Linked DNA regions of Stegostoma tigrinum. The protein of the gene in region 1 interacts with the protein of each later gene in a pairwise test. Links are inferred from orthologs where the notes say so. Each region holds a gene or a part of one and is shown in the gene's direction. Other genes may lie near its edges. The genes, in order: cul3b, abtb1, shkbp1 and rho-related BTB domain-containing protein 2-like.

Region 1 (7,669 bases):
ATTGACAGTGGCTGGTACCCCAGATGGTTGACAGCTTCTGGGTGGTTGACTGCTCTAGAAATGTTTAAAATCTCTCTGACTGATCAAAATTTCCCATTAATAACAGCTCCATGCATGACTGACAACTTCTTGGGTGATTGGCAACTCTTAGGAAGATTGATGCTCTCAATGAGACTGCCAGCTCCCTGAATTATTGACATGATTGTCTGCACACTGTCTGATTGACAGCTGTATGAATGGTTGCCAGGTCTCATGGAGATCGACAGCCCTCCTTGTGATGGACAGCTTCTGGGTTACTGACTGCTGTCGGCATGTTCGGCAACTTTTGGTTTGATTGACAGCTTCCTGAGTAGTGATAGCACTAGTGATTGACAGATCTCTGCATGATTAGTTTGACAACTCCCCAGATAATTGACAGCTGCTGGGTCATTAACAGCATCCTAGCTGATTGACAATTTCCCAGGTGACTGACAGCTCACAGGAAAATTAACAGCTCACCATAGTTATGACAACTCCTCAGCAGTTGGCAACACTCAGGATAACTGACAGCTTTAGTTGTCGTTGACAGTTGTCGGGGTAACTAACAGTTTCCTTTTTAATGATCCATTTCAAGGTAATTGACATCTCGTGAGCTAATTTACAGCTTATCAGTTGATTGACAGTCCTCTGGGTGATTGAAAGAGAGGGTAAATCAGCATTCAGTTTTCTACACAAATGCTCTTTCCTGGTTTCAAACCGGGATTCATTTGCATGTAAAGTGAATGTGATACCCACTATGCTACAGAAACAGGACACTGTTGGATGATTGGCTGCACTCAAGGATTTTTACAGCACTTGATGTGATATTGGCATTTCCCCAGGGGAATGATGCTCAGGATTGATTACACCCAAAATGGAATGTGTGAGTGATGTTTTTATTCATTCATGGGATGTCGGTGATGTCCACTGGGCTATCATTTATTGCCCATCTCTATTTGCCCTTGAGAAGGGTGGTGAGCTGCCTCCTTAAACTTCTGCAACTTATTTGGTGGGGTCAAACCACAATACCCTAAGGGAGAAAGTTCCAGGGCTTCCACTTGGTGACACTGAACGTACAATTATATGTTCCCAAGTTAGAATTGTGAATGCTTTTGGAGGGAAGCTTGCAGGAGCTGGTGTTCCTGTGCACTTGTCGCCTTGTCCTTCTGTATGGAAGTTGGCATGGGTTTGAAGCTGCTCTCAAGGGAGCCTTGGTAAATTTCTGTGGTGCATCTTGTAAACAGTTCATACTGCTTGCTGCTACTGTGCATCAGTGGTAGACAGGGTTAATGTTTGTGAATGTGGTGCCAATCAAGCAAGCCACTTTGTTCTGGATAGTGTTAAGCTTCTTGAGTGTTGTTGGAGCTGCACTCATGCATGCAAGCGGAGAGTATTCCAGCACACCCAGGAATTGTGGATTGTAGATGGCAGGCAGGCTTTGGGGAATCAAGAGTTGAGTTATTGTTGCAGGATTCCTAGCTGCTTACCTGCTTGTGTAGTCACATTATTTGTGTGGAGTGTCCAGTTCATTTTCTGGTCAATGTTAATCCCCAAGATTTTTAGAATGGAGAGATAAATGACAGTAATGCTATTGAATTTCATGAAGCAATGGTAAGATCCTCTCTTATTGGAAATGGTCATTGCCTGGCAGTTACTTGCCACATTTTAGTCCAAACCTAGATATTGTCCAGGATTTGCTGCATTTAGATGTCAATTGCTTCAGTATTCGAGGAGTTGCAAATAGTGCCCGAAGATTGTTCAACTATCAGTAAACATTCCACTTTGACCTTATGACAGAGAGAAGGTCATTGATGAAGCAGCTGAAATTGATTCAGCCTAGGACATTCCCCTGAAGAATACCTGCAGAGATATCCTGGAACTGAGTTGACTGACCTCCAACATCCCAAACATTGTCCTTTGGTACAGATATTACTTGAACCCGCAAAGAGATTCCCCTCACAATTGTGATTTCTACTGACTACAGATTTGATGGAGCTCCTTGATGTGAAACTTGGTAAAATTGCAGACTTGACATCAAGGGTAATCACTCTCGCGTCATCTCTAGAATTTAGCTGTTTTGTCCACATTTGAACTAATGCTATAATAAGGTAAGGAACTGAGTGGTCCTAGCAGAGCCCAAACTGATGATCAGTGAAAAAAAAACAAAGAACTGTGGATGCTGGAAATCAGAAACAAAAACAAGTAATTGCTGGAAAAACTCAGCAGGACTGGCAATGTATGTGGAGCAAATGTAGAATTTTAACATTTCAGATCCAATGACCCTTCTTCAGAACTGACTGTACAGGATCTATGGAGAGGGGGTGGGGGAAGGGGGTTGGAGTAAGGGATAGGCAGAGGTGGAGACCAGAGAGAGAGAAAAACAGTTGTGCAGACAAAAACATGGGTACAGGTCAACCTAGGAGAATTAGCAGCTGCTAATGGGGACTCTTAGTGGCTGACAATGGTTTGTTTTTGGCAGCAGCCCATGTAATAACAAGGTCTGGTGTGTGGGGTTGGAAATAAGGTCAAGGGGAAGGTGCTCAAGCCCCAAAATTGTTGAATTCGGTATCGAGTCCATAGGCTGTAGGGTTCCAAAGTGGAAAATAAGGTGCTGTTCTTACAGCTTGTGTTGAGCTTCTGTGGAGCTCTGCAGCAAACCCGAGACAGAGATGTTAGCGACAAAACATAGTGGTGTGTGGAAGTGGCAGACAACCGAAAGCTCACTAAACCAAAAAACCAAAAGAACGGCAGATGCTAGAAATCAGAAACAAAAACAGAAATTGCTGGAAAATCTCAGCAGATCTGGCAGCATCTGTGGAGAGAAGTCAGAGTTAGTGAGAGCTCAGAGTCATTTCTGCAGACAGATCCCCTCCTTCCACCCCATAATCAGCATATGTAACAACTCCCTCCCAGCTACAATAAGTTCTGAAGAAGTGTGGCTGGTCCCAAAATATTCATTCTGCCATACCTGCTGAGTTTTCCAGAAATTTGTTTTTGTTCATGAGCGTCAGTGAGCAGGCTATTGACAGGTTTTACAGTGATTAACAGTTTCTGGATTGTTGGCTGCTCTCTACATGATTGATACTCCTTGTGTTAATTCAGCTCCCTGGGTAATTGACAACTTTCAACACAACTGACTACCCCCATTGAACTATTGCCAGCTCCTAGGTCATTTAATCCTCCCAAGTGATTGACGGACTTTGAAGTGATTGACAGCTCATGGGGCAACTAACAGCTCCCATGAAGACTTTCAGGTCACAGGGTGGTTGACAGCTTTTGGAGTGATTACCAGCTTCCTGGTTAATTATAGAGTCCCAGATAACTGATAGCTCTTGAGGTAATTCACAGCACCCTTGTTGACTAAAAGCCTTCTGGATGATTAACAACTCCTCAGGTTACTGGCAGCTTTCAGGGATATTGACAGCTCTTGACGTGATTCACTGTTTCAAAGGTGAATACGACATAACTTATGATCGACTGTAGCCTAGATAACTGAGATCTTTGCCAATGATCGACAGTTCCCAGGATGATTATTAGCTCCTAGTTGGTTGACAACTCCCTAGAGGATCTACAACACACCGGATTGTGGGCGATTGACAAATTTCTGGGAGATTAACAGCTCTTAGGAAGATTGGCAGCTTGTGGGGCGAATTTACAGTTCGCGTTTAACGGTTGGCTAGGTTTTTCACAGTTCCTAGTGGGTTGACAGGATTGCAGCAGTGTGAAACTATTCGAGTCTTTGATCACTGCATTAATCACATTGCCAGCTCCCTGGGTAAATGACAAGTCCAAGAGTGATTGACAGTTCCTGAATGATTCATGGCTCACAGGGTGAATGACAGCCCCTGGGTAACTGACAGTTCCTAGAGTGAGTGATGTTCCCAGCTTCTGGTGATTGACTGCTCCCTGGGTAGTTGGCAGCTCACAGAATGGTTGGCAGCTCACAATGTGATTGAAAGCATGTGGACTGATTGACAGTTCCTTGGGTGGTTGACAACTCTGTGAATTACTGACAGCTCTGGGTTTGATTGAAAACTCCAGGTGATTGACAAATCCTGGGTAACTGATAGGCCAAGGGCGATTTACAGCTGCCGAGTGATTGACAGTTCCAGGGATGATTGATGGCTGCCGAATGATTGACAGGTCCCAGATTGATTGACAGATACAAGTTGATTGACAGCTCCATAGCAATTTATAGCTCCCAGGTTGCTTGACAGTGACAGGTTGACTAACAGCTGCAGAGTGATTGACAGTTCCCCAGGTTGATATACAGTGACAGGTTCATTCACAGCTGCAGTGATTGAGAATTCTCGGATTGATTCACAGCTGCAGTGATTGACCAGTTCTCAGGTCGATTCACAGCTGCAGGTTGATTGACAGTTCCCAGGTTGATTGACAGCTGCAGATTGATTGACAGTTCCTAGGTTGATTGACAGAGCCTGACGCGTCACTGCTGCGGACGTCAGTCTCGTGTTCTCCCTGCGAGTACAGGGCCGAGCTCTCGCGATATCGGACTGTCGACTGACCTGCGCACTGAAGGTTTCGGCCGCCATAGAGCCGGGCTGGTATTTTCCAACAGATTTTTTTTGATATTAAAAATTGTTTCATGGTCGAAGGTCCTGCTGCCTCTCACTTGAAGGGGGTCAGATCAACCCGAATCACTGGCCGTGGATCCCGTCTAATCGAGAGGTTTAATTGTAGCTCGGTCTTTTATCGGAACTTCCACTCCCCCTTTTCTTTTTCTCTCCTCCCCTGTAAGTGAGTCCTATGTGAAAGAAATCATCCGCCAACATGTCAAACCTGGGCAAAGCTGGGACGAAGAAAGACACCAAGATGAGGATACGAGCGTTTCCCGTAAGTAATGACCCCGTAGCCGCAATTTAACAGAACAAATGAAAGGAAATGCGCCGCACGGGGACAGAGAGGCTGCGAATGCTTCAAATCGAGGGCCCGGGCTTCTACGGATGTCAACACAGGAGCAGGCCCCTTATCGTTTGATTAATATTCATGGTGCTCCGTGAAGGCCAAACAGAGAGGCTGTTTTAATCCTTGGCTGTTTGTTGTGATGACCTCCCCCATTCAGGAACACAAAGCGCTGTGTTATGTTGTCATTTTTTAATTCACTTCCTCCATCTTTCTCTCGCCATCAGCCCCCTCCCCAAAAAAATCTGTAGAATATTATTGGTTCTGACATATTGAAACACTAGGTAATAAGTTGTAAGGTGCGGCTTACGTTTTCTGAAATAGTTTCACAACTTCGGATATTTTTAGCTTTCTTTTGAAAGTGATGGAATGGTAGTGTGGAATGTTAAGTATTTACTGTGTTTTCAGTCAAGTTGAAACACTCTTTAGGTGGTCTGTGACATGGACTGGTTCACTACTGAATACTTAGATTTGTGGTCACAATAACTTGGGTTATGCTCTGAAAACTTAATTGGTAAGAGCTTTGTGACTGGACTGGTACACCAACGCCTGGTGGAATATTTGGTTCTCTATCTTTTGCAATATGCATAAGTTGAAAGGTGAGAAGAATGTCTCCTTCAGAATTGACCTTAGTGAGTTGAAAACCTTGAAAGAAATGCTCGAATCATTTCCAGCAGATTTGCTGTATATCATATGAAATACATATGTAGTAAGCTCAAATATATTTTTGCAACTACTGGTGAAAGTTTGAAACTGTTCAAACAGCACTTAACTGCTTGAAAATATTTTGCAAAGGATAACAGTATTAATAAATTTTTAAGCAGGGCAAACTAGATAGCAAGTGTTTTATCCCCTCCCCTCAAATGAATTTGAAATTGTGCGGTGATTGCCTTCTACCTGGAAGAATAACACATTCAACATGTGAAACAACTTCTGTATAAGCGGGACAAGGAGCACTTCCTATGTAGAAGTTACTGTTAAAGTTCATACACTGAGAGTTTCGTAGGCACAAGGTTACAGCATAACGTTTGTTCACAGTTTCAAGTTTACTAGCGGAACATGTTCAATTAAAATAATTTGTGCCAAGCGTTCGTCATACTGTTTTTTATGCAACTTCTGTAACATTTTGACACTGCTGATCTGTATATAATTCTGAAATTGGTATGTTACTTTATGGATGTTCTTTGTATGGTATATTTGCTGAAAGACATCAACTTTGTTAATTACTAAACAGAGTGGAATTAAACGGTACTAACCAATTTTGTACTTTCAAAAAATTCTCCTAAGCTAACTAAAGTTATTTTTTAAATGGTGTAAAGATCACTGACCGTAATTTGAAAAATTAAAAGGATAGAATTATGTGGTGTATTGCCAATGTAAATTACTTTAATTCTATTACTTCTGTCATGTGCTCAGGAGTAACTGTAGAGCAAAGCCAAGATTGCTGTTTAGCTGATATGTTTGTGAAAATGGACATTAGAGATATTGAACAGGGGCCTACTCACTAAGTTCTGTACTTCTACCAGCAGGTGCTTCCCATAGGAACCCTTTGCAGTGTAGTTCAAGATGTCCAAAAACTAATTCAGCTGTGTTTAATCAAAGCACAACTGAAAGATTGGATTGTAAAATGAAAAGCTGAAGTGCAAAAACTATATTTTTTTTTAGTTTTGGTTTGGCTTATGATATCTTCCATATATAAAAACAGAATACCTGCACCCACATTGTTCATTTTCTGGTCAGTTGAGGATCATTAGTTAGCATACTCATGGCTTCTCCCAGTGTTGTGGGGTAACAGTAGGTATTTACTGCTGCCTGCATTGCCCATTTCCTACAGCAGTGATTTGAGATCCTCTATGAATTGGTGATCATTACTTGCTCATTACCACTTTGAGTTCTGAGTTACCATCTGTTGTACTATCAGGATATCTTTTTAAAAACAAAAATTCAGTTTCAGTATCATAAATGTTTCAGAAGTAAATGAGATCATGCTGTATTGGTGTTTATATTGAAATGACTAAACAATGTTAGTTACTACAATTAATTATATAGTTATTGTTTTACTGATTCAGCTGCCTTCTCTAACTATACTACTATTGTACTGTATCATTTGCAAAATCACATTCATCGAATTTAATGCCAACTAGAAATAAAGGCCCCCTGCAGAAAATTTACATCTTCGTAATGGAACAGTTGTTGGTCAGTTTTAGAATCAGTTTGCACATGATTGTCATTTTAATGTAGAATATGCATTTTAATGGTGTGAAAAAAGACACTTTGAAATACATTGTTTGGCTACGTTGATCCATTTGTAAAAATAGCTTTAAAGTGAAATTCAGACAATTGTATTTGCAGCATTGCCAAGACCACTCAGTTAGTGCTAGAGGTTTTTGATTTAAATGGGGTGTAGCATGAATACTGAATTATTTACAACATGGTTAACCTGATTGGCAGTTACCTAAAATTACGAAGAGCATTTCAATTTTTTTCTATCAACACTGAACAGGATGATAGACACAATACGGGTGGGTAAAAAGGCTCATAATAGGGGAATGTAACATTGCTGAACAGAACTTGATGCATTCCGATCAGATTTCATTCTTGTAAGCATGATTAGAATATCTGAATAAATTCCTAGATATGTTTTAATCTATCAAGAGTAGAAAATTTGTATTTCCATGAATCTGAATTGTTAAATGGTGCATGCAGTGGTATCTTCAGTATTAAAGTA
Region 2 (7,837 bases), on another chromosome or scaffold:
GAGATTGTAGGAACTGCAGATGCTGGAGAATCTGAGATAACAAGACGTAGAGCTGGATGAACACAGTAGGCCAAGCAGCATCAGAGGAGCAGGAAAGCTGACGTTTTGGGCCTAGACCCTTCAGGTTTGATTTCATGGGACATTAGCAGCAATACTGAACTGTTCTGATGGTACAAGCTCCACCTGCATCATGCTTGCACTGGAGTCCTGGTAAATCTTATAACTACGGTTGTGATTAGGCTTCAAACTAAATAGAGTGTGGAGAGTTGAAGATAACAAAGTGTGGGGTTGGGTTAACACAGTAGGCTAAGCAGCATCTTAGGAGCACAAAAGCTGACGTTTTAGGCTGAGACCCTTCATCAGAAAAGGGGGATGGGGAGAGGATTTTGATACAAATAGGGGGAGAGGGGGAGGCAGACTGAAGATGGATAGAGGAGAAGATAGGTGCAGAGGAGAGTATGGGTGGGAAGGTAGGGAGGGGATAGGTCAGTCCGGGGAAGATGGACAGGTCAAGGGGGCAGGATAAGGTTAGTAGGTAGGAAATGGAGGTGCGGCTTGAGGTGGGAGGAGGGGATAGGTGTGAGGAAGGACAGGTTAGGGAGGCGGGGCCGAGCCGGGCTGGTTTTAGGGATGCACTGGGGGGAGGGGAGATTTTGAAGCTGGTGAAGTCCACATTGATACCATTGGGCTGCAGGGTTCCCAAGCGGAATATGAGTTGCTGTTCCTGCAACCTACGGGTGGCTTCATTGTGGCACTGCAGGAGGCCCATGATGGACATGTCGTCCATTGGTTCAGTTGCATGGAAAATTATAAAATCAAACGTAAAGGAGAAAGTAGGATTATAATGATGGGGTTGGGGATGATTGTTACCAGAAGATAAAAGGAAGTGAGAATGTCATATTGCATCGAGGAACGATATAGTTGTGGGGAAATTTGATAATAGAACAAAGATGAAGGCTTTGTATCTTAATGCTTGAAGCATTCAGGATAAGATGGATGAACTAATAGGAAAAATTGAGGTAAATGAGTATATCTTATAGCCATAAGGGAATCATGGTTATAAGGAGATCAAAAGCGGGAACTCAACATTCAGGTAGTGGAGAGCTTCTGAGCCCAGGACTTGTCTGCTTTTCTTTGTTTCCTTTTTTTACCTCTCTTCCTTTTATAGTTCACTTCTATTTTACTTTACTTACTGCTTGGTGAAGGGTTCAGACTTGGCAAAGGCATCATCGGCACAGACTCATGGCGGGATGGGCAGAGGCGAGTTTGGGCCCACTACCAGACCTAGCAGCAGCTGCACTGGCGAGGTGAGCCCCAAAGCGGGCTTGTGGTGGCAGTACTTGGTGGGGCTGTTGCACTTCCCAGCCACTTTGGTGGCGTCTGCATTGGCAAGGTCCACCAAGGACCCATAGCGGTTTGGGCATTGATGGAGGCAGGATGGCACCAAAGAATGATGACTTTTATTCTAGCAGGGGGTGGGCGCAGAGAAGGGGCCTCATGCCTGGCCACCTGGCCCACGATGGAGCACTTAATAAAAAGGACTGTAAGGTGGGCACTTCTTTCACTGTCACATTTTTCTGCCTTTATATTCTGATTTGTTTTATTTTTCTGCATTTTAAGATGGCGCCAGAGTGTAGTGATGCTGCACACCACTTTTCACCACATTTTGTAACAAGATACACATGACAAGAAATAAATCTTACCGAGGCAATTTCTTCAGCCAGAGGGTGGTGAATCTGTGGTACTCATCACTGCAGATGGTTGTGGAGGCTGAGCCATTGGGTGTATTTAAGACAGAGGTTGACAGGTTCTTGATTAGTAAGGAGGTCAAGAGTTATGGGAAGAAGGCAGGAGAATGGGGTTAAGAAATATAATCAACAATGATCGATTGCTGGAGCAGAAACGATGGGCTGATTGGCCTAATTCTACTCCTATATCTTATGGTCTGATGGAGGTCATCATGAAGCAGAATTAAGACAAAATATGAAATTTAAACGTTAAAGCACACTGTCTAACTGAAGATGATTTTTGATTAAAGTGGAAGATCTATAAATTAGATTTCAGATCTGTTAATAAGGATGTATTAAGGTCACAAGCACAAGTTTTATTTGGGTAAGTTGGGGGAAATTAAAATATCATAGCTGTTTACAAAGAAAATCTTGAAGACAAAGCAAGAACAGTAAATAATCACATTAGAAACAAATGGCAGGAACTTTCCTAGGCCCGAAATGTCAGCCTTCAGAAAGATTTCTGAAGAAGGGTCTAGGCCCGAAACGTCAGCCTTTCCTGCTCCTCTGATGCTGCTTGGCCTGCTGTGTTCATCCAGCTCTACATCTTGTTATCTCAGATTTTCCAGCATCGGCAGTTCCTGCTATCTCTGCGTAATTCTTTGTTTTGTTTTCGTGTTTAGTTCATGTGACACCTCTTCTGGGTACGTCCATCCTGAAACCTACCTCAGTGCAATTCATTGCCGTATGCGAACTCTCGACCTCTCTCTCCATCTGCATCACCTCGTGCTGTCTCAGATCTCTCCTGCCTCCCATTCCACTTTCATTGTCTGATCGTTCAATAGTCCTGAAAAAGAGTCACTGGACCTTAAACATCTACTCTGCTTTCTCACCACAGATGCTGCCAGACCTGCTAAGTTTCTCCAGAAATTTCTATTTTGGTTTCAAATTGCCATCATCCCGCAATTTTTTGTTTTCTGGTAAATCTCTTCTGCGCCCTCTCCAGGGCATTTGCACATTTCCTATCAGGTGGATTGTACACAATATTCTAGCTGTGGCCTAACCAATGTCTTATACAGTTCCATTACCACCACACTGCTCTTAAACTCTGTCTCAATGAAACAGCAGTGCCGCCTTTGTGTCCAGGCAAAGTAGACTGTCTCTGCTTGTTGTTGAAAGTGAATGGTATTTGGGGGCCATCTTGTGGTGTAGTGGTAATGTCCCTACCCCTGGCCCAAGAGGCCCAGGTTGAGTCCCACCTGCTCCAGACACGAGTAATAACTCCTCAGAACAGGTTGATTAGAAAAAGAAGTTAAATAAAAAAAGAAAATAAATTGTCCCGTGTGTGTTCTTCACCACTTTATCCACCAGGCCTTAAGGGTTCAGTGTATACACACACCAAGGTCTCTTCATCCATGGTGCTTCCCATTCATTTCTTTTGTCTTCATTTTCTTGCCCAAGTGTATCACATGTATCCAGATTGATTTCCATTTGTCACAGGCCAGCCCATCCATATTGTCATTTCCTGCGTTGGTGATGGATGGCAGGAAATGACATCACCAACCCAAGGAAACCTAATCAGATAAATAGAAAGCGGGACATAACACCAGCGCTTCGTCGGAGGCTCACTGATGATGTTACCTAGAATGGTGACGAAACGTCTGAAAACTAACCTTCCAGCTCAGCGAGCAATCTCACATCCAGAACCTCAACCTGAGCTACAAATCTTCTCGAAACTCGCTAGGGCCAACATTCTCCCCTGTGGACCTAAACAGACACAGATTTCCAGTCACAAAAAGAAACCCAGTCAACCATCATTCTCTGCATCATGACACTCAGCCAAATGGGGACCCAATTTGCTAAATTTCCTTGGATCCCATGGGCTCTTGGCTTCCAGTCAGTTTGTACAATGTCGGGAGGACCGTTACCTCCTCCCGACCAGCAGGCGGTGCTCTGACGGGCAGTTTGTACAAAGTCGGGAGGACGGTTACCTCCTGCCGACCAGCAGGCGGCGCTCTGATGGGCAGTTTGTACAATGTCGGGAGGACGGTTACCTCCTGCCGACCAGCAGGCGGCGCTCTGATGGGCAGTTTGTACAATGTCGGGAGGATCTGTTCCTCCTCCCGGGCGGCAGGCGGCGCTGTGATGGGCAGTTTGTACAATGTCGGGAGGATCATCTGTTCCTCCTCCCGGGCGGCAGGCGGCGCTGTGATGGGCAGTTTGTACAATGTCTGGAGGATCTGTTCCTCCTCCCGTGCGGCAGGCGGCGCTCGAATGGGCAGTTTGTACAATGCCGGGAGGATCTGTTCCTCCTCCCGGGCGGCAGGCGGCGCTGTGATGGGCAGTTTGTACAATGTCTGGAGGATCTGCTCCTCCTCCCGTGCGGCAGGCGGCGCTGTGATGGGCAGTTTGTACAATGTCGGGAGGATCATCTGTTCCTCCTCCCGGGCGGCAGGCGGCGCGCTGATGGGCAGTTTGTCCAATGTCGGGAGGATCTGTTCCTCCTCCCGGGCGGCAGGCGGCGCTGTGATGGGCAGTTTGTCCAATGTCGGGAGGATCTGTTCCTCCTCCCGGGCGGCAGGCGGCGCGCTGATGGGCAGTTTGTACAATGTCGGGAGGATCTGTTCCTCCTCCCGGGCGGCAGGCGGCGCTGTGATGGGCAGTTTGTCCAATGTCGGGAGGATCTGTTCCTCCTCCCGGGCGGCAGGCGGCGCGCTGATGGGCAGTTTGTACAATGTCGGGAGGATCTGTTCCTCCTCCCGGGTGGCAGGCGGCGCTGTGATGGGCAGTTTGTACAATGTCGGGAGGATCATCTGTTCCTCCTCCCGGGCGGCAGGCGGCGCTGTGATGGGCAGTTTGTACAATGTCGGGAGGATCTGTTCCTCCTCCCGGGCGGCAGGCGGCGCTGTGATGGGCAGTTTGTACAATGTCGGGAGGATCTGTTCCTCCTCCCGGGTGGCAGGCGGCGCGCTGATGGGCAAAGTGCGCAGGTGCAGTTACAGCAGTCGGTCGTGTTTACATTCGAAACGGTCGTAAACACCGCCTGTGGAGAGCAGCTCACTGAGCGAGCTTTAAATAATAAATAGTAAAACTACACTGGGCTCCGGCGTCACGGAGTCGATGTATCGATTCCCAGCTTCAGCGAAGGAGAGAGATGGACACGAGCGAGTTATTCACCAGCTGCAGGAAGGGGGAACTCTCCAGAGTTCGGTGAGTGCGGCTGAGGCCCAAGTGCAGTCGGTTAGTGTGGGGTAAAACCCTGAGGGTGAGGGGGAAAATGTGAGGGAAAGTGGGGGAATTGGGGGAGAGGGAGATGGGGGGAGTAGAGGAGAGGGGTGGGTGGGGAAATGGGGTGATGGCAGTAAGGGGGTGGGTGGAGGAATGGGGGTGTGATGGAGAGAGTAGTGGAGTGACACAGTACAGAAGCTTTCCCTTCTGTCCAACTTGCCTGTGCCGACCAGGTTTCCCAAACTGAACTAGTCCCATTTGCCTGTGTTTGGCAGACATTCTTCTAAATCTTTCTCGTCCATGTACGTGTTCAAATGTCTTTTAAATGTTGCACTTCGACTCATCTCTACCACTTCCTCTGGCAGCTCATTCCATACACCAGCACACTGTGTGAATAAGTTGTCTTAGGTCTCTTATAAAGCTTTCTTCTCACCCTGAACCTACCTTGGGAAAAGACCTTGGCTATTCACCTTATTTTATGCTCCTGATGGTTTTATAAACTTTTATAAGCTCTCCTAAATTCTGGGTTAAAAAAGCCTGAGCCTCTCCTTATAACTTAAACCCTCTAGTCTCGGTAACTTCCTTATAAATCATTTTTACACCTTTTCCACTTCAAAAACATCCTTAAAACTGTGTGACCAGAATTGCACACAGTACTCCAAATGTGGTCTTACCAGTGACTTGTATGGTGGTAACACGATGCCCTAACGCCTGTACGCGGTGTTCTGACCGATGAAGGCAAGTGTGCCAGCCGCTGCCTTCACCATCCTGTCTATCTGTGATGTCACTTTCAAGGAACTATGTACCTGCACCCCTAGGTTTCTGCCCTGGTTTTTCTTACCAAAATGCATCACTTCTCATTCATCTAAATTAAACTCTAGCTGCAATTCCTTGGTCCACTGATAACCTTCTTCACCATCCACTATACCACCAATTTTGGTGTCATCCATAGAACTCAATAACCATGCCTGCTATACTCTCATCCTCATTGTATATGTAAATGATGAACAACAATGACTCGGGAATGGGGGTGTTGGAGAGGAGAGGTGGGGAGGTAACTTAAGAGATGGGATTGTTCAATGGAGGGATAGAGGGAAGGGAGAAAGGTGAGGGGAGGGGAAGTAGAAGGGAAGGGAGAATTGGAGCAGGAAGGGAGCAAAAGCAGGAGAAATGGAGAGAGAGAGAAGGTTGCAAGAAGTGGAGTAGGGATGGCAGTGAGGCAGAATGGAGGTGGGAGGAGAGGAGATGGGCTGGAAAGTAGACCTAGTGGAATGACCTGCCAATTCTGAATTTATTATTGTAAGATTCCTTAGTATTAGTGCAGGAGCAACAACAGCTCTTGACATTGGTATGAAGGAAAAGATAAAGCTGCCATAGTTCTACTGGACCAAAGCACTCCTCTCTATTATTAAACAGAGGAGAGTTGTGGTGGTATAACTTGAAGTACACCACATCTCAGGAAAGACATTGAGGTGAGTCCTTCATGGTAACCTCAACCTGTACAGGTGTAGTGTATGTACATGGATTTTCTGTCTGCATTGTGTATTAGTGTGCAAAGCTTCCAGTACATACATGCAAGTGCACCACAGTGAAAGCCCCACTGACCGTCTTAAGTTGGTCACTAGCATAATTCTTGCATGTTCAGAATTATTGTGTAAACATTGTCCAGTTGCAGTTCATATTTAATGTTACACACCGTCGTAAAGTTTAGAAGCGGGGACTGGTTGGATGTGGGCAGTACCTTACTTGTTGCAAACAGCTGAAGGGACAGGCTGTTTGATGCAGTTCAGAAGTCTTTCAATTCAGCCTTCTGACCTGGCACTTCTACTATCTGATTCACTTTGTACGGTACGATCTGCCTGTAGAATGCACAAAACAACACTTTTCACTGTTATTTTAGTACATGTGAGAACAACAAATCAAATCTATGGAAGGATATGGTGGGGTGGGGTTGCAGAGAAAATTCACAAGAATGATCCTGGGGATGAAGGACTTGTCATATGTGAGGCAAACAACAATTCTAGATCTGAGATAATAAAGTGTGAAGCTGGATGAACACAGCCGGCCGAGCAGCATCTCAAGAGCACAAAAGCTGACATTTTGGGCCTAGACCCTTCATCAGAGAGGGGGATAGGGTGAAAGTTCTGGAATAAATAGGGAGAGAGGGGGAGGCGGACCGAAGACGGAGAGAAAAGAAGATAGGTGGAGAGGAGAGTGTTGGTGGGGAGGTAGGGAGGGGATAGGTCAGTCCAGGGAAGACGGACAGGTCAAGGAGGTGGGATGAGGTTAGTAGGTAGGAGATGGAGGTGCGGCTTGAGGTGGGAGGAAGGGATGGGTGAGAGGAAGAACAGGTTAGGGAGGCAGAGACAGGCTGGACTGGTTTTGGGATGCAGTGCGTGGAGGGGAAGAGCTGGGCTGGTTGTGTGGTGCTCTGGTGGGAGGGGACGAACTGGGCTGGTTTTGGGATGCAGTGGGGGAAGGGGAGATTTTGAAGCTGGTGAAGTCCACATTGATACCATTGGGCTGCAGGGTTCCCAAGCGGAATATGAGTTGCTGTTCCTGCAACTTTCGGGTGGCATCATTGTGGCACTGCAGGAGGCCCATGATGGACATGTCATCTAAAGAATGTGAGGGGGAGTGGAAATGGTTTGCGACTAGGAGGTGCAGTTGTTTATTGCGAAGCGAGCGGGGGTGTTCTGCAGAATGGTCCCCAAGCCTCCGCTTGGTTTCCCCAACGTAGAGGAAGCCACACCGGGTACAATGGATACAGTATACCACATTGGCAGATGTGCAGGTGAATCCCTGCTTAATATGGAAAGTCATCTTGGGGCCTGGGATAGGGGTGAGGGAGGAGGTGTGGGGGCAAGTGTAGCATTTCCTGC
Region 3 (7,528 bases), on another chromosome or scaffold:
GGCCGGCAAGGGGACGTGGAAGCTCAACACGACTCTGTTGACCCCAGAGAACGTCGAGGAGCTTAAGAGGGAGTACCGTGGAACCCCTCTTTGAGTCTCCAGGCGACTGGTGGGAGACGGTGAAGGAGAACATCAAGAGGTTCTTTGTCCTCAAGGGTGTTCAGAAGGCGAGAGAGAGGCGGGGAAAGCTGTTGCGACTCCAGAAAAGGGTGCAGAACCTGCTCCTTCTGCAGTTGATGGGGGTCGATGTCACGGAGGACCTCCGCGAGGTGAGGGGCCAGCAAGCCTCGCTCTTCGCCGCGGAGGCCTCCAGGATAATCTTCCGGTCCAGGGTCCGCTCCGTGGAGCAGGACGAGACGTGCTCGCGTTTCTTCTTTCAGAAGGTGCACAAAGAGAGCTCTGTGCTTAGCCGGCTGAAGGAGGACGACGGCTCGGTGACGTCGTCTCGGCCCGACGTTTTGAGGATCAGCAGATCCTTCTATGCCGGACTGTACGACACGAAGCCCACGGACAGCACGGCCTCCGAGTCGTTCCTGTCGTCTATCACGGAGGTCTTAGATGACGGCACGAGGGAGTGGCTGGACCGGCCGATATCCCTGGACGAGCTGGCCAGAGCCCTCAAGTCCTTGCAGAGGAATAGGACTCCCGGAAGTGATGGCTTACCGGTCGAGCTGTATTCTGCTCTGTGGGGCCTGGTCGGCCAGGACCTGCTGGAGGTGTACGATAGTGCGCTTCGGACAGGGGAAATGTGCAAGTCCATGAGGAAGGGCATCATCACCCTCATTTACAAGAGGAAGGGGGGGAGGGAAGAAATTAAGAATTGGCGTCCCATTTCACTTTTGAACGTGGACTACAAAATCCTGGCCAAGGTCATTGCCAACCGGGTCAGGTCTGTCCTGGAGTCGGTGATTCACCCTGACCAAACCTGTGCTGTGCCGGGCAGGAAGATCGCTGAGAGCTTCGCGCTCATCAGGGATACGATCGCCTACGTACAGGACAGGCGGGTGGACACCTGCCTCATCAGCCTGGACCAGGAGAAGGCCTTCGACAGGGTCTCTCATGCTTACATGAGGGACGTCCTCTCCAAATTGGGGTTCGGGGAGGGCATCCGCAATTGGATCCGGCTGCTCTACGCCAACATCGTTAGCGCAGTCTCGATCAACGGGTGGGAATCAGACAGTTTTCCTGTTAGATCTGGAGTCAGGCAGGGCTGCCCGCTCTCTCCTGCCTTGTTCGTGTGCTGTGTGGAGCCCTTCGCCGCCTCCATCAGGAAGGACGTGAGCCTGAAGGGCGTGACTATCCCAGGCAGCGGAGGCCTTCAGGTCAAGACCTCCCTGTACATGGATGATGTCGCCGTCTTCTGCACCGATCGTCGGTCGGTGAGTAGGCTGTTGGACATCTGCGGCCAGTTTGAACTGGCCTCGGGTGCCAAAGTCAATAGGGGTAAGAGCGAGGTCATGTTCTTCGGGAACTGGGACGACCGCTCCTTCATCCCCTTCACCGTCAGGACAGACTACCTGAAGGTGCTGGGTGTTTGGTTTGGTGGAGCTGGGGCATGCACTAAGACTTGGGAGGAGCGTATCTCCAAATTTAAGCAGAAGCTGGGCAAGTGGACGCTCCGGTCCCTCTCCATCGCGGGTAAGAACCTGGTTGTCAGGTGCGAGGGGCTTTCGGTACTGTTGTATGTGGCGCAGGTCTGGCCTATTACCTGGACCTGCGCCGCTGCGGTCACCCGGGCCATCTTCCACTTCATTTTGGGGTCGAGGATGGACCAGGTCCGCAGAGATACCATGTACAAAGACCTGGGAAATGGGGGAAAGGGCGTACCGAACGCCACCCTCGCCCTGACGGCTACCTTTGTGTGTGGCTGCATCAAGCTGTGCGTAGATCCTCAGTACGCAAACACCAAGTGTCACTACTTACTGAGGTTCTACCTGTCCCTGGTGTTGCGAAGGATGGGCCTGGCCTCGTTGCCGCGGAACGCTCCGAGTAGTTGGACCGTTCCGTACCACCTGTCCTTCGTGGAGAAATTTTTGAAAGGAAACACCTTTGACCACAAGGCCGTCAGGCAGTGGTCAGCACGTAGTATCCTCAGGACCCTTCGGGAAAAGGAGAGGGTGGATCCCGTCGTGTGGTTCCCCATGCAGACTGCCAAAGTCGTTTGGCAGAATGCCTCATCGCCAGAACTTTCAAACAAGCACAAGGACATTGCTTGGCTGGCGGTGAGAGGGGCTCTGCCAGTGAGATCCTTTATGCATTCCCGGAATCTCTGCACCACCGCACGCTGCCCTCGAGGTGGCTGCGCGGGGGACGAGACTGTCGATCACCTCCTTCTGGAGTGTGCCTATGCGCAGGAGGTCTGGAGGGAGATGCAGTGGTATTTGTTGAGGTTCGTCCCGAGCAGCTCCGTGACGCGGGACTCCGTGCTCTACGGGCTGTTTCCGGGGACGCACACCGAGACCAACATCAACTGCGCCTGGAGAACCATCAATGCAGTGAAAGACGCTCTTTGGTCTGCCCGCAACTTGCTGGTCTGCCAGCTGAAAGAACTGCCCCCGACCGAGTGTTGCAGACTGGCGCACTCCAAGGTCCAGGGCTACGTGCTGAGGGACGCGCTAAAGCTTGGGGCAGCCGCCGCCAAGGCGCGGTGGGGAAAGACCACCGTATGAGCCCCCTCGTCCAGAAAAGGGAAAAGAATCCTATCTGGTAACTGGGCCCAGCTGGCGTCTTCCCCAACTGGTCAGGGGGCCAACTGGGACTGTGCGGGGTGACGACTGCCGGGGCGGTTTCTTTGCTTTGTTTTTTTTTCTCTGTTTTGTTTTTTTTTCCCTTTAGTTGGTGTACGTACCCCCTGGGTAACCCGGAGTGGCTTGCATGACTGGGTAGGTGTATAAATGTTTTATTTTTTGTACATTCTATGAATAAAGTATATTTTTTTCAAATAAAAATAAAGGTGATGAAACGTCTGAAAACGAACCTTTCAGCTCAGCGAGCAAACTCACATCCAGGACCTCAACCTGAGCTACAAATCTTCTCAAAACTCGCTAGTTTGTATGATCTCCTGTCTTACTCCTATGCAGAAGCCATGAGACTGTAATCAGGAGCAGGGGCATTAGTTGGTTTCCTTTTGACATTAGAGTGAGCAGAAGAGAATTTTGTGGTGGAAAAACTAATGACATTTATTAACTGTCTGTACTTCCAGATAAAATCCACATTTAAAAGGAGATTGATTCAAGACCGTTTCAGTGTTCAGTTATTGGCTACTCTGAGGAGTAAATGTAATTACATCACAGACTGCTTCCTCAGGGAAATATAGCAAAGTCTGACATTCAATTAATTCATCAATAAACTTCCTTAGTCATCTGATTCATTTGAGTCTTCAGAAACAGAAGGAAGGTGTGCAAACCTGATACTTGTTCCTGCATTTATCTGGACTGATTCTGAAAATCTTAACTCCATCTACCTGCTATGGTTTTGTTATTCTTTATTGCCTTACCAACAAAAGGCTACTAATTTGTTTTAAAGATTTTAAAATTTCATCCATCTTTTGAAGGAGTGCATTCCAGATTTCCATAATTCTTTAGAGTTTTAAAGTTGTAAAGTTCAAAGCATAGAAAATGGCCCACTGCCCTTCTAGTCTGTCAAAAACAAGCGCGCAACTATCCTAATCCCATTTTCCAAGGAACTTAGCCCATTGCCTTGTGTGCCTGGGCATCACTACTGCACATCTAATTTTTTTTAAACGTTATGAGGATTTCTGCCTTGAACACCTTCACAGTAAGTTCCAGATTCCCAGCACCCTCTGGATGGAATAATTTTCCTCACATTCCCTTGAAGCCTCCAACCCTTTGACTTAAATTGAAGTCTCCTGGTCGTTCATCCCTCCATCAAGGAGAAAGGTTTCTTCCTGTCTACTTGTCTCAACCATTCCCTCTGTATTTTGATTTGAGGATTATGTAAAAGTCTTGTATTCAACTATTTACATCTGAATAACTCTCACCATCTATCACAGTTTCAGCTATTAATACTCCTGCTCAGTCAATCTTTGCCTCATCCTTACTCAAACTTTAAAAACTGTGTTCCGTGACTCTTCCTCTCTTGCAGTCAATTTACTGGCTATTTCATGGCCCTCATTCTCTTTACGAAATGGGAAATGTTAATCAGGCCACATCCTGTTGACTCAAGAGTCTATTGTTTCAGAAAAAAAAGAGTTGTTTGTTTCTCTTGTATTTCTACGACTTACTCTCAGTGTCCTGTCACTTTAAGAAATTGTGGCACTCCAGAGGAGATGTCCCTTTAAAAAAGAGCCTTGCCACTGAAGCCGATGCAAAGTACCCTGGGACTGAGGGAGAAGTTTGAATGATAATTAATCTGACCAATCAACTAATAAAACCGGAACGACGTTAACAGATTGAAGCCAATCCGTTTGTGGCAGGGGGTGGGACTAAAACACACCCAAAGTTTGATGAACTTGTTTGAGGAAGTTGGGGATTGACTGAGCTTTCCTGGGATGGTGTGAAATGGCAAATATCGCCCAGCCTGGTGAAATTATACATCTCAATGTGGGAGGAAAGAGGTGAGTAAGGAACAGATTGGTATTAATTGGGCATTAGAAATCCTCTCATTATCTGGGTCACTGTCTTGCGTGGGGTGTTGGAGCTGTTTGAGTGCACACTGCCTCCTAATCTCTGTCTTCAGCAACCTGTCTTTTTTCCATTTCTTTCAAGGTTTTGTTAAACAGCGACGTTTGTGGTTATTACTGAGTCTGATAGTTATGTTCTATTATTAAAACCAGAAATACTGGCTGCAGTAAAGCAGTATTGCGCAGAGAACATGTTCGAGTTTTGGGTTGTGACTTCAGAATTACAGTTTCTGTTTTTTATTAACAAGAATAGTGAGAAAGAGTTGCATTTAGCGTGTGCCTTTCAGAACCTCTGGATGTCCCAAAGTGCTTGGCAGTCGATGCCATGTATTGACTGTTGTAATGTAGGAAATGCTGCAGCCGATGTTCACCGCAAGATTGTGGGGAATGATCAGTTTGTCTGCTTCAGTTATGCTACTTTGTTTCAGAAATTCCTCTTTGTCTCTCACAACAACATCTGTTTATATCACACCAAGCTACCTCATGTAGCTCAATGTGATTACTGATTTTAAAATCCTCTGTGGAGAAAATTAGGCCCTTTTGTTTTTTATTGCATTTAATGCTGCTACCTGAATGCAGGTTGTTGTTGCTCTGTGATAATTATTTGTTAGAATGTCAAAGGGGGGGTGGGAGGATTACAAAAAACAACATCCCTGTTCTTCCTTGGAATACTGTTGTTGCACTGTGCAACTTCCCCTGCCTTCCCCCTTAAGGTGCTCATCATGACTCCCAATCTCCTTCAGAATGTGCCCCTCCCCATGTCTTCATGATTGGTCTGGATATACGTGTGACTACTGGACAATAGCTGTTAGTTTCAGTAAGTGGAACCTGACCCCATCTTTGCCTCCAGCACAAACCCATGATTAAGAATAAATGTTTCTTTTATTTTATTCAGATTGTTGTGGATTCCAGCTGGGGGATGTTCAGCGGGGAGTGGGGAAAGTCTGGATGCCACAGTTACTTTCTCAGCAAGCGCTTGATGTGGCTGTGTCTTTCTCTGAGGAGGTCAGGGGGTGTCTGGGCATCTGCCCCCATGACCTTTTGTCGTTTTGCCTGGGTTCAGTGATCGGTAGTTACTCACTCACTGTTTCATTCAAGTGCCTATTTGCCGTTTCTGGCCCCAGAGGGAATCAGACTAATTGACCACAGACAGCATCACCTCCAAGTTTGATGCAAGACAAAGGCAGATGAGGAAATGAAGAAACCAAAGCTGGTTCTATAGGAGATGTCAATATGAAAATGCAGAATCATTACCAGCAACCACCTTTGAATTGGTTATTTTATCTGAAATTTTTGAAGTTGGTAGTGTCCAGAATGCTGTAAATTACCAACTTGAGAGAGGAGCTCATTGATCTTTGTGTATCTGCACAGCAATATGACTTTGTACACCTCAATCGGGTCCTGTTGTGTAATTGAGAGCAAAGATACCTCGGAATGCAATGGAATCTTGATCAGATGGGCAAGTGGGCTGAGGAGTGGTGGATGGGGTTTAATTTAGGTAAATGTGAGGTGCTGTAATTTGGAAAGGCAAAACAAAGCTGGAGTTGTACACTTGATGGAAAAGTCCTTGGGAGTTCTTCTAAACAAAGAGACCTTGGAGTGTAGGTTCATTGTTCCTTGAAAGTGAAGCTGCAGGTAGACAGAATAGTGAAGAAGGCATTTGGTGCAGTTCTATTTATTGGTCAGGGCATTGAATGCCAGAGTTCAAAAGTCATGTTATGGCTATACAGGGCATTGGTTAGACCACTATTGGAATACTGCTTGCAATTCTGGTCCCTGACTGTAGGGATGATGTTGTGAAAATTGAAAGGGCTCAAAAAAGATTTACAAGGATGTTGTGGGGTCGGACGGTTTGAGGCACAGGGAGCGGCCAAATAGGCTGGGGCTATTTTCCCTGGAGTGTCAGAGGCTGAGGGGTGACCTTAGAGGTTTATAAAATGATGAGGGGCATGGATAGGGTGAATAGTCAGGCCTTTTTCTGAGGGCAGAGGAAGTCCAAAGCTAAAGGGCATAGGTTTAAGGTGAGCGGGGAAAGATTTAAGGGACGTGAGGGGCAACTTTTTCATGCAGCGGGTGGTGTGTGTATGGAATGAGCTGCAGTGAAAGTAGTAGAGGCTGGTACAATTGCAACAGTTGAAAAGCATCTGGATGTTACGTGAATAGGAAAGGTTTGGAGAGATATGGGCCGAATGCTGGCAAATGGAACTAGATTCATTTAAGATATCTGGTTGGCATGGATGCGTTAGCCTGAAGGGTCAGTTTTGTTTTTGTGCTGTACAGCTCTATGACTGTATTGATACAGTGCAAGAAGCCAAGGACAGCGCGGTGTGGGGTGAAACAAAGAAACGAAGAAACCTACAGCACAGGAACAGGCCCTTTGGCCCTCCAAGCCAGCGCCGATCAAGATCCTCTGTCTAACCTGTCATCTATTTTCTAATAGTCTGTGTCCACTTGTTCCCTGTCCATCCATGTACCTGTCCAAGTATATCTTAGCAGACGCTAAGGTGTCTGCATCTACCACCTCTGCTGGCAACGTGTTCCAGGCACCCACCACCCTCTGTGTAAAGAGCTTTCCACACATATCTCCCTTAAACTTTCCTCCTCTCACTTTGAACTCATGACCCCTAGTAATTGAATCCCCCACTCTGGGTTTTGGGGGGGGGGGGGGGAGGCGGGGAAAAGAGAAAGCTTTTTGCTATCCACCCTGTCTATACCCCTCATGATTTTGTAGGCCTCAATCAGGTCCCTCCTCAATCTCTGTCTTTCTAATGAAAATAATCCTAATCTACTCAACCTCTCTTCATAGCTAGCACCCTCCATACCAGGCAACATCTTGGTGAACCTCCTCTGCGCCCTCTCCAAAGCGTTCACATCCTTTTGGTAATG
Region 4 (8,128 bases), on another chromosome or scaffold:
TTAGTCTGTTCAGCACATCAATCACTATCACAGGGCTGGTCAGATGAGCTTAGAATCTGGTCCAGAGCTACTTGACCATCGCAAAACACAAATGCAACATGGTACGCTGGTTTTATTTCATTTAGATGTCAACCTCAGCTCACTGGCCGCACTCATGAGGCAATGTTAAAGGGACTGTATGTTCAAGCACAATTCCAGAGACTTGAAAACAGAGTCAAAGTTGACAATTGAGGTGCAATCATTCATGTAAAGGCTTTAACCAAGACCCATTTGCCTTCTCAGATATGTGCAAACAAGTTTATTTTAACTGCTGAATGATGAGCAAGGATTGGTCTATTGACATCTGGATGATATTTATCCCGCTGTCAGCGTCACAACAAGATTAACTGCTTGTGTGTTATTGGCGTAGAATCTTCCTGTGTGTAATTTGGGTCCTCTATTCCACTGAAGACAATGGTGATTGTGCTTCATAAACACTTCATTTCCCTAGTCCTGCACTCATCCCTGGAACATCTGGACAACAAGGACACCAATTTCAGACTTCTGCTCATTGACTACAGCTCTGCCTTCCACACCCTTACCTCTATCAGACTGATCTCAAAACTCCAAGATCTAGATCTCAGCTCTGCTCTCTGCAACTGGATCCTCCACTTCATGACCCATAGACTGCAATCAGTGAAGATAGACAACTGCACCTCCTGCATGATAACACTAGAGCTCTTGAGGATGCATTCTCAGACCCCTTCTTTTGTCCCTCTATAACCACAACAATTGCCAAATTCAAAACAAACATCATCGACAAGTTTGCTGATGGCATCACCATGGTAGGATAGATATCAAACAACCATGAGTCAGATTACAGAAGGGTGATAGAGGGGTTTGTGACATGGTGCAATGATAACAACCTCTCTCAATGTCGGCAAAACTACATTGACTTCAGAAAGAAAGGAGGAGAATATGACCCCATCTGCATCAACGGAGCAGAGGTTGAGACCTTTAAGTTCCTAGAATGACAATAACCGACAACCTGTCCTGGACATCCCGCGTAGATGTAATGGTCAAGAAGGCACAACAATGCCTCTACTTCCTCAAGTGGCTCAGGAAATTTGGCATGTCCATGAGGACCCTCACCAACTTTTACAGATGCACCATAGAATGCATACTGTCCAAGTGCATGACGGCCTGCTCTGCTCAGGACCATAAGAAACTGCAGAAGGTGTATGCACAGCCCAGACTATCATGGATGCCAACCTCCCACCCATGGACTCTGTTTACACATCTCATTGCCATGGAAAGACTGCCAACATCATCAAAGACCTGTCCTACGCCAGTGATGCTCTTCAACAACCTCCTGCGTCAGGCAAAAGATAGAAGCTTGAACACACGCACTAGTGGATTCAAGAACAGCTTCTTCCCTGCCATTATTAGACTAATGAATGGAGTCTCTAACTTCAAATAACATTGATCTTGCCAACTGCACATCCCTACATGCAGTGTAACCTGTATGCCTTATTCTGTCCCAGTTTTTTTTCACCCTATGATCTGTATGCCCTTTTTTAATGTGATCTGCTTGTACTGCTCGCCAACAAAGCTTTTCACTGTATTTGGGTACACGTGACAATAAGTCAAATCAAATCACATCAAGTCATTCATTGCAAAATGCTTTGAGACATTCTGAAAGACAGAGCAGATAAATAGAACTATTTTATTTTAATGTATTTCCTATTGTTTATTTCCTCCAGTACTTGGACATTTACATTTCCTTGTTACTTGCCTTCCTCTTTGCAATCCCAATCTATGTTTCATGCTTCCATCAGTGTGATCAAATTCATTTGTTACCCTGCACCAGCATTTCTTCTTTGCCCATGTTTGTCCCTTACTTGAAGCAGATGCGCTGAAGTCAGTAAATATTTCACTGGAAAGAAAGATTAGACAGCTTCTACAGAGACGGAGTTTGCCACGCAACTCCAGTTTTACGCACAGGTGGCAAGGTCTAAAATCTATCTCAGTTTAATTTAGGAGATTCATAAATGTCACAAAAACCAGCCCTGTCTTTTTGGACCAATAACTTGCTGCCCTTACCAATCTGGTTTATGGACATGTAACTCCAATCCGAAAACAACAGTTGATGCTAAACTTTCTTCTGAATTGGCCTAGCCATCTACTTAGTTTTATCAAACTATTCCAAATTGCTGTTTTTTTTAAAAATTTATTCACAGGTGAGAGTGTCACTGGGTTAGACTGGCCTAATTGCCCAGAGGCTAGTTAATAGTCAACCACATTGCTGTGGGTCTGGATTCACATGTAGGCCAGACCAGGTAAGATTGGCAGTTTCCTTCCCTGAAGGATTTTAATGAACCGGATGGGTTTTTCTGACAATATGCAATGGTTTCATGATCATCATTTGACTCTTAGTTCCAGATTGTTTTCTTTTATTCAAATACCACCATCTTCCATGATGGAATATGAACCCAGGATCCCAGACCATTTTCTGAGTCTCTGGATTAACAGTCCAACGATAATACCATTGGCCATCACCTCCCCTATGTCTCACTATCAATGTGTTAAGAAACATGGTAATGACATTGTCACATGTGACCTGAGGGTATAAAAGCATCAGATATCATCTTAACTGGAGTCACTTGAAGCATGACACGCTGACAGAAGAATGAATCCCTGGTTAAAATTACATTACTGTTTTTGGGATCCTGCTGTGCACAAATTGGCTGCTGCACTTCCTTCAGCATAATACTGACAACACATCAAAAATACTTAATTGACTATTGAACAATTTGGAACATACAAACATTCCAAAAGATGCTAAATAAATGCAAATCCATTTCCAAAATAAAGGCGTACAGGAATCTTTGAAATGGTCACATTGAGCTAGACATATTATTCTAATGCTTCTGAAAAAATTCCTCATTGGCCACCTCCAGCCTTGACAAACCTCCTAACCGCTGTAACCTCTTCCAGCCTGCCATATCTTTGTCACCTTTACTGAAGAAGGATCATGAGACTCAAACAATTCCAGATCCAAGTTTGCCTTACATGATTCAGAAGTGTAACAATAACTTGCTTATAGACAGTGCCTTTAGTGTAGTTAAACAGGAATACTATTAAAGATATTAGAATGAGTGATCAAATGCTTCCTCAAAGGGATAGATTCAACAATGTAAAAGAGCCAACCATCATGAGTGAGTAGCAGAGCCTCAGGTTTCGGGCAGTTGTAAGGCAGCCAACAATGGCCATGTCATGTAAACCATTGATGTGCAACAGATGAAAACTTGTGCAGAGACATGGAGGGATGTAGGACTGGAGAAGGTGTCAGAGATAAAGAAAGGTGTAGGGCTAGGGGAAGTTACAGACATAGGTCTAGGCCTGAAGCATCAGCTTTTGTGCTCCCAAGATGCTGCTTGGCCTGCTGAGTTCATCCAGCTCCACACTTTGTTATCTCGGATTCGCCAGCATCTTGAGTTCCCATTATCTCTGGTTGACATTACGAGTCTGGTATGACTTTTTCTCAGAGCTCAAGCCGCTGTTTAACTTTTACTGTTGCCTTTTACAATATAGTTTTGAAATATTTGTGTGTTTTTAAAGAAAACACATTTATCTTCCAGTCAATGGAATTGATAGAGAAGTACAATCTCTTTAGTGCCGGGGATTTCCAACGTGCTGCTCAGTTTGTCATGGTGAGGGTTCATATTGAAACATCCCGCCAATGAGAAACGTCAATATACTTAAAAGGTGGTCATATAAGTTACTGAAGAGGATGGGAAACAAAAGTTGAATTAGAGCCAGACATCAACAATTGAGAAGGCAGGGGCATATCATTTGGATGAAAGCCTCATGGACAGCCACTGGCGTACACGGTTAGAATCATTTCAGCAACATTCACCAGTTTCAAAATCTCCCCTTCCCCTACTGCATCCCTCAACCAGCCCAGTTCGTCCCCTCCCCCCACTGCACCACACAACCAGCCCAGCTCTTCCCCCCCACCCACTGCATCCCAAAACCAGTCCAACCTGTCTCTGCCTCCCTAACCGGTTCTTCCTCTCACCCATCCCTTCCTCCCACCCCAAGCCGCACCCCCCGCTACCTACTAACCTCATCCCACCTCCTTGACCTGTCCGTCTTCCCTGGACTGACCTATCCCCTCCCTACCTCCCCACCTACACTCTCTCCACCTATCTTCTTTACTCTCCATCTTCGGTCCGCCTCCCCCTCTCTCCCTATTTATTCCAGTTCCCTCCCCCCATCCCCCTCTCTGATGAAGGGTCTAGGCCCGAAACGTCAGCTTTTGTGCTCCTGAGATGCTGCTTGGCCTGCTGTGTTCGTTCAGCCTCACATTTTATTATCTCAGCAACATTCGATTTGCGTTTACCCCCTTCACAAATATAGCCTCGCCCGGATAGCACATGCATAATTTCTATCAAAGTTTGGCTTTGTGCCCGTGTTCATGTCGGGTTTTGTTGTGTTTCTGTTGTTAGCATCAATGTATCTGTTTTTCAGGGACAGAAGACAAAAAAAAAATCAGACTCAAAACATTCGCTTTTGTTTCTCCCTGCACAGATGCTACTGAGTTGCTTCAGAATGTCCACTGTTTTCAAAATATTAATAGACCCCGTCCCTATCGTTTTTGTTCCTCAGGCAGAGATGGAGCAAGTGTTCACACAATCGCAATTACGTGCATGAATTAAATGCTTCTTTCTGTGAAGGCATGAGTTTCAGAACTATTCTTAGTGTGGAAGTGTCTGTTGGACATGTGCTGTTTGGAGGACGCAAGCTTTCTAAGCTCAGCTCCTTCCTCAGGCTTGTGTTTTAAAATAAACCTGATGTCGTGTGATTTTTGACTTTATCCACGCCACTAGCATCTCCACATCACGGTTTGTAGATGAGGAGGGTTTGGGGAAGGGGGCGGTGTTTTATTCTTCCGGTGCTCTCGAATATCGGATGAAGGACGTGACCCTAGGCCAATGGAGGTTTCGGTAACGCCCCTAAGCCTGGTGACAGCGCAGTGGGGGTGGGTGTTGTCTGCGCCAATCGGGATGGGAAAAGTAGGTGGAGACAGTCCTCCCCAGCTCCTCGCTCTCTGCAGAATCTCTGCTCCTTTTTATGAATGAAGTAACAACTGCAGCATGAGCCTGTTCCAGCCGATGGTTATCAGGAACGAAAAACAATCTTACTTCATACATAAATCTGCAACCTTTATTGCCACCTCTCCGATTGCCACCCCTCCCCCCCACCCCCGTCCTATCGCTTTCCCACATTCGGGAGCCAGGAGCAGGGCGCTGTAATTTTTGCGGAAAGATGATTTCTTCAGGGATTTCGGCTTGTGGCGCGATCGTTTCTCTGTCTTAGTTCATAGCGTGAAGTCATTCCGTTTGCTACAATGTCGAATTATTTATTTTTAATTGACACATTATTCAAATGGATACAATGACGAAGATGCTTGCGACTCACTGAAAAAAGGCGAACAGAGAACCTACTTCCTCATTGAAGAAAGATTTTTCCATTCAGCACGGTGCGTGATGATTTATTCCCTTTTTTTCCTGATATATATCTGTGACTCTGTGTGTGTGTGTGTAAATAGACATATATCTTTCCGCTTCTATTTTGGGAAATGTCTCCCCCAGTCTGTCTGTATTTAAGAGTCTATCCGATCTCCTCAACAGCTAAATTGAGCTGGTTGTCGTGGTAACAGAAATCGGGATGTGGACTCTTCCGAGTGCAGACCACAGAAGCTGCTCGCACTCGGCTTGAGGGCTGGGTCCCGCACTCAGTTCGGATGAAGCCTGACCCGCAGCAAACGCTACATGTGACCAAGCTTCTGGTCTCCTGCCGAAGCCGATCATGTCAAGTTTGAGTGTATTTGCGCTCCCCACCCGACGAAAGCCTTCTCGGGCTGGACTACTCATCAGTAACGTGGCAGGGATTCATAACTCTGATTCAAACCTTTAACTTACCGTTTTCCGACTGCAATCGCACATCTCCGGTCGGCCCTGACTTTGGCATGTGTTTCCAAGTGGCAGTTTACATGCAGCTTTTTAAAAATAGGTTCAACCTCTGATTTACTTTTCTACGTGTGGCAAAGAAAAGTCCAGCTTTTCTGCCCCACCACCATATACTTTATTCATGAAATTTATCAAAATACATCACAAAACATTTCAACCTGAGCATGACAGAATTTGCAAGAAAGCTCAACTTCTGCCTTGCAGCATGTTTCAACTGCACGAGTCTAGCAAAATACACTCCATGTCAGATAGACAGCCCGGGGAAAACAAATTCAAACTAGAAATTGCAGAAAGTGCAATTTTCTTTTGTCAGTGCTTCTTTGAGGTATTTCAGTATGTTTTGATGCTCTTGATACACAATGTATCTTGTGAGGCCCCCAGTCTCTGAAATTTTACAGTTTCCAGCCCCTTGGTGCACATTGGCTGAAAGGCCTGAGGCAGTGACCTTTGCCCGTTACAGAAAAAGAAAATGCATACAGAATTGATAACGAATGAAGCATTTCAGAGATCATAACTCTATGTCTAGCCACGTGATAGATTAGTTCAAACACACCTTAATGCAAAAATGGATGTGTGTTCAAGGTCAATAAGGGCCACAATGATTTTATTTCATTCTTCCATGAGATCTGTGTGTCAGTGGCCAGCATCTGTTACCCATTCCTTATTGTTCTTCAAATGAATAAACTGTTGTACCATTTCAGAGGGCAGTTGAGAATCAGTCAGACGACTGGGTTTGGAATCATATGCAGGCTAGTCCAGATATAGATGGCAGGCTTTGTTCTGCAAAGGAAATTCAAAAACTAGATTGACTGTTCCAAAATACTGTGTTGATTTGGTGGCACAATTTCTGACATGAACTTTAGTTCCAGATTTTGTTAAATTAATTTGCATTCAACCAGTTGCTCTAGTGGAGTTAAACCGTCATCTAGCAGCATTAGCCTGGGCAAAGTATCATCCGCTGCCCCCCCTCCACCCAACTTAATCCATGGTTTATTATATCCACAGGGTTTTTACAATTCAATATCTTATTTACATGGATTTAAACTTTAAAAGCTATGTCTAAGTTAGTAAATATTTCCATTGTAAAAACCACTAGACCTAGACACAAAACAAAACAGTTGACGTAACTCAGTTTCTTTATTACTGTTTGTAGATTTTGAACGTTAGTCAGTAGAGTTTTAGTAAGTGACTCAACACATAATTATTCACATGCTAGAGCACAAAACATCCATTGTAAAATTTACCAAATTAGTAATCCTTGCAGGTTAGGTTTTGTACACAGATTCAAACATGTAGTAAAATTTAAAATGGCAAGATTTAACTTGCATTTGTGGCATTGAAATTTTGGGGTTATGTAACCTAAGGAAGTAACTACAGCATTGGTCTAATTGAATGATAGAATGGGATGGGGGAGACATGAAATGAAACCAGCAAGTACTGGAGAAACTCAGCAGGTCTGGCAGCATCAGTGGAGAGAGAATTGGGTCATGTTTCAGGTTGAAAGACTCTTTTTTGATGGTGTGAATGGTCTTTCCTTTACACACGTTCTTATAAAGCCAATGCAGATATTTTAACCTTGCAATAGGTTTGCTAACGCCAGTATCAAACTGCCTGAAAGCATTGACTGTCTTATGTGAGACAAGTCATGTGTGAGCCTGTGTGTTGTATGTCTGTGTGTGAGGCTGTGAGGTTATCCATGTGTTTGATACTTGAATATGTTGTGCCCAGAAGCAACCAGATGAAGAGCATGTTATTCCACTGTACGCACAGACATATTTTACCTCGCCATCTTTTAATTTATTCCTCAATTTGATCAACATTGATAGAGGTCATTTATTGCCCAGGTATTAAGAGGCAACTCAATTTTATAGGATTGGAGTTAAATGCTCATTAGCGTAGCAGGATACCTTGTCTGAAGTGGATCTTAGGTATGCATTCTGCAGTGTAATCTACCTCATGATTTTATCTGTGTGAGAAAATTATTGTTAGGCAGGCTTTATTGCAATGGATGGACAGAAAATGACCAATGTGACTGACTCAGTAACCTTAAGGTTGAGGAAATGAAATAAGCTGGATGTGAATAGCGCCTTTCATGACCAAAGCACTTGACAGCT

The links.
Region 2: the proteins of cul3b (region 1) and abtb1 interact in binary tests that used the Homo sapiens proteins (3 or more experiments, as listed by UniProt). The two-hybrid records come from large-scale screens. The link is inferred for Stegostoma tigrinum from reciprocal best matches to the Homo sapiens genes CUL3 and ABTB1.
Region 3: the proteins of cul3b (region 1) and shkbp1 interact in binary tests that used the Homo sapiens proteins (3 or more experiments, as listed by UniProt). The link is inferred for Stegostoma tigrinum from reciprocal best matches to the Homo sapiens genes CUL3 and SHKBP1.
Region 4: the proteins of cul3b (region 1) and rho-related BTB domain-containing protein 2-like interact in a two-hybrid assay, tested with the Homo sapiens proteins (2 studies listed by BioGRID). The link is inferred for Stegostoma tigrinum from reciprocal best matches to the Homo sapiens genes CUL3 and RHOBTB2.

What each region holds. Positions count from the first base shown.
Region 1 is NC_081367.1:24,434,172-24,441,840, reverse strand, and holds the start of cul3b (cullin-3b), read left to right. Parts: upstream 1-4,539; 5' UTR 4,540-4,809; coding exon 4,810-4,872; intron 4,873-7,669. UniProt on the Homo sapiens protein: Core component of multiple cullin-RING-based BCR (BTB-CUL3-RBX1) E3 ubiquitin-protein ligase complexes which mediate the ubiquitination and subsequent proteasomal degradation of target proteins.
Region 2 is NC_081364.1:5,672,275-5,680,111, reverse strand, and holds the start of abtb1 (ankyrin repeat and BTB/POZ domain-containing protein 1), read left to right. Parts: upstream 1-4,713; 5' UTR 4,714-4,881; coding exon 4,882-4,937; intron 4,938-7,837. UniProt on the Homo sapiens protein: May act as a mediator of the PTEN growth-suppressive signaling pathway. May play a role in developmental processes.
Region 3 is NC_081392.1:21,636,380-21,643,907, reverse strand, and holds the start of shkbp1 (SH3KBP1-binding protein 1), read left to right. Parts: upstream 1-4,446; 5' UTR 4,447-4,520; coding exon 4,521-4,576; intron 4,577-7,528.
Region 4 is NC_081393.1:4,691,132-4,699,259, forward strand, and holds the start of rho-related BTB domain-containing protein 2-like, read left to right. Parts: upstream 1-5,072; 5' UTR 5,073-5,524; intron 5,525-8,128. UniProt on the Homo sapiens protein: Regulator of cell proliferation and apoptosis. It likely functions as a substrate-adapter that recruits key substrates, e.g. MSI2, to CUL3-based ubiquitin ligase complexes for degradation. Required for MSI2 ubiquitination and degradation.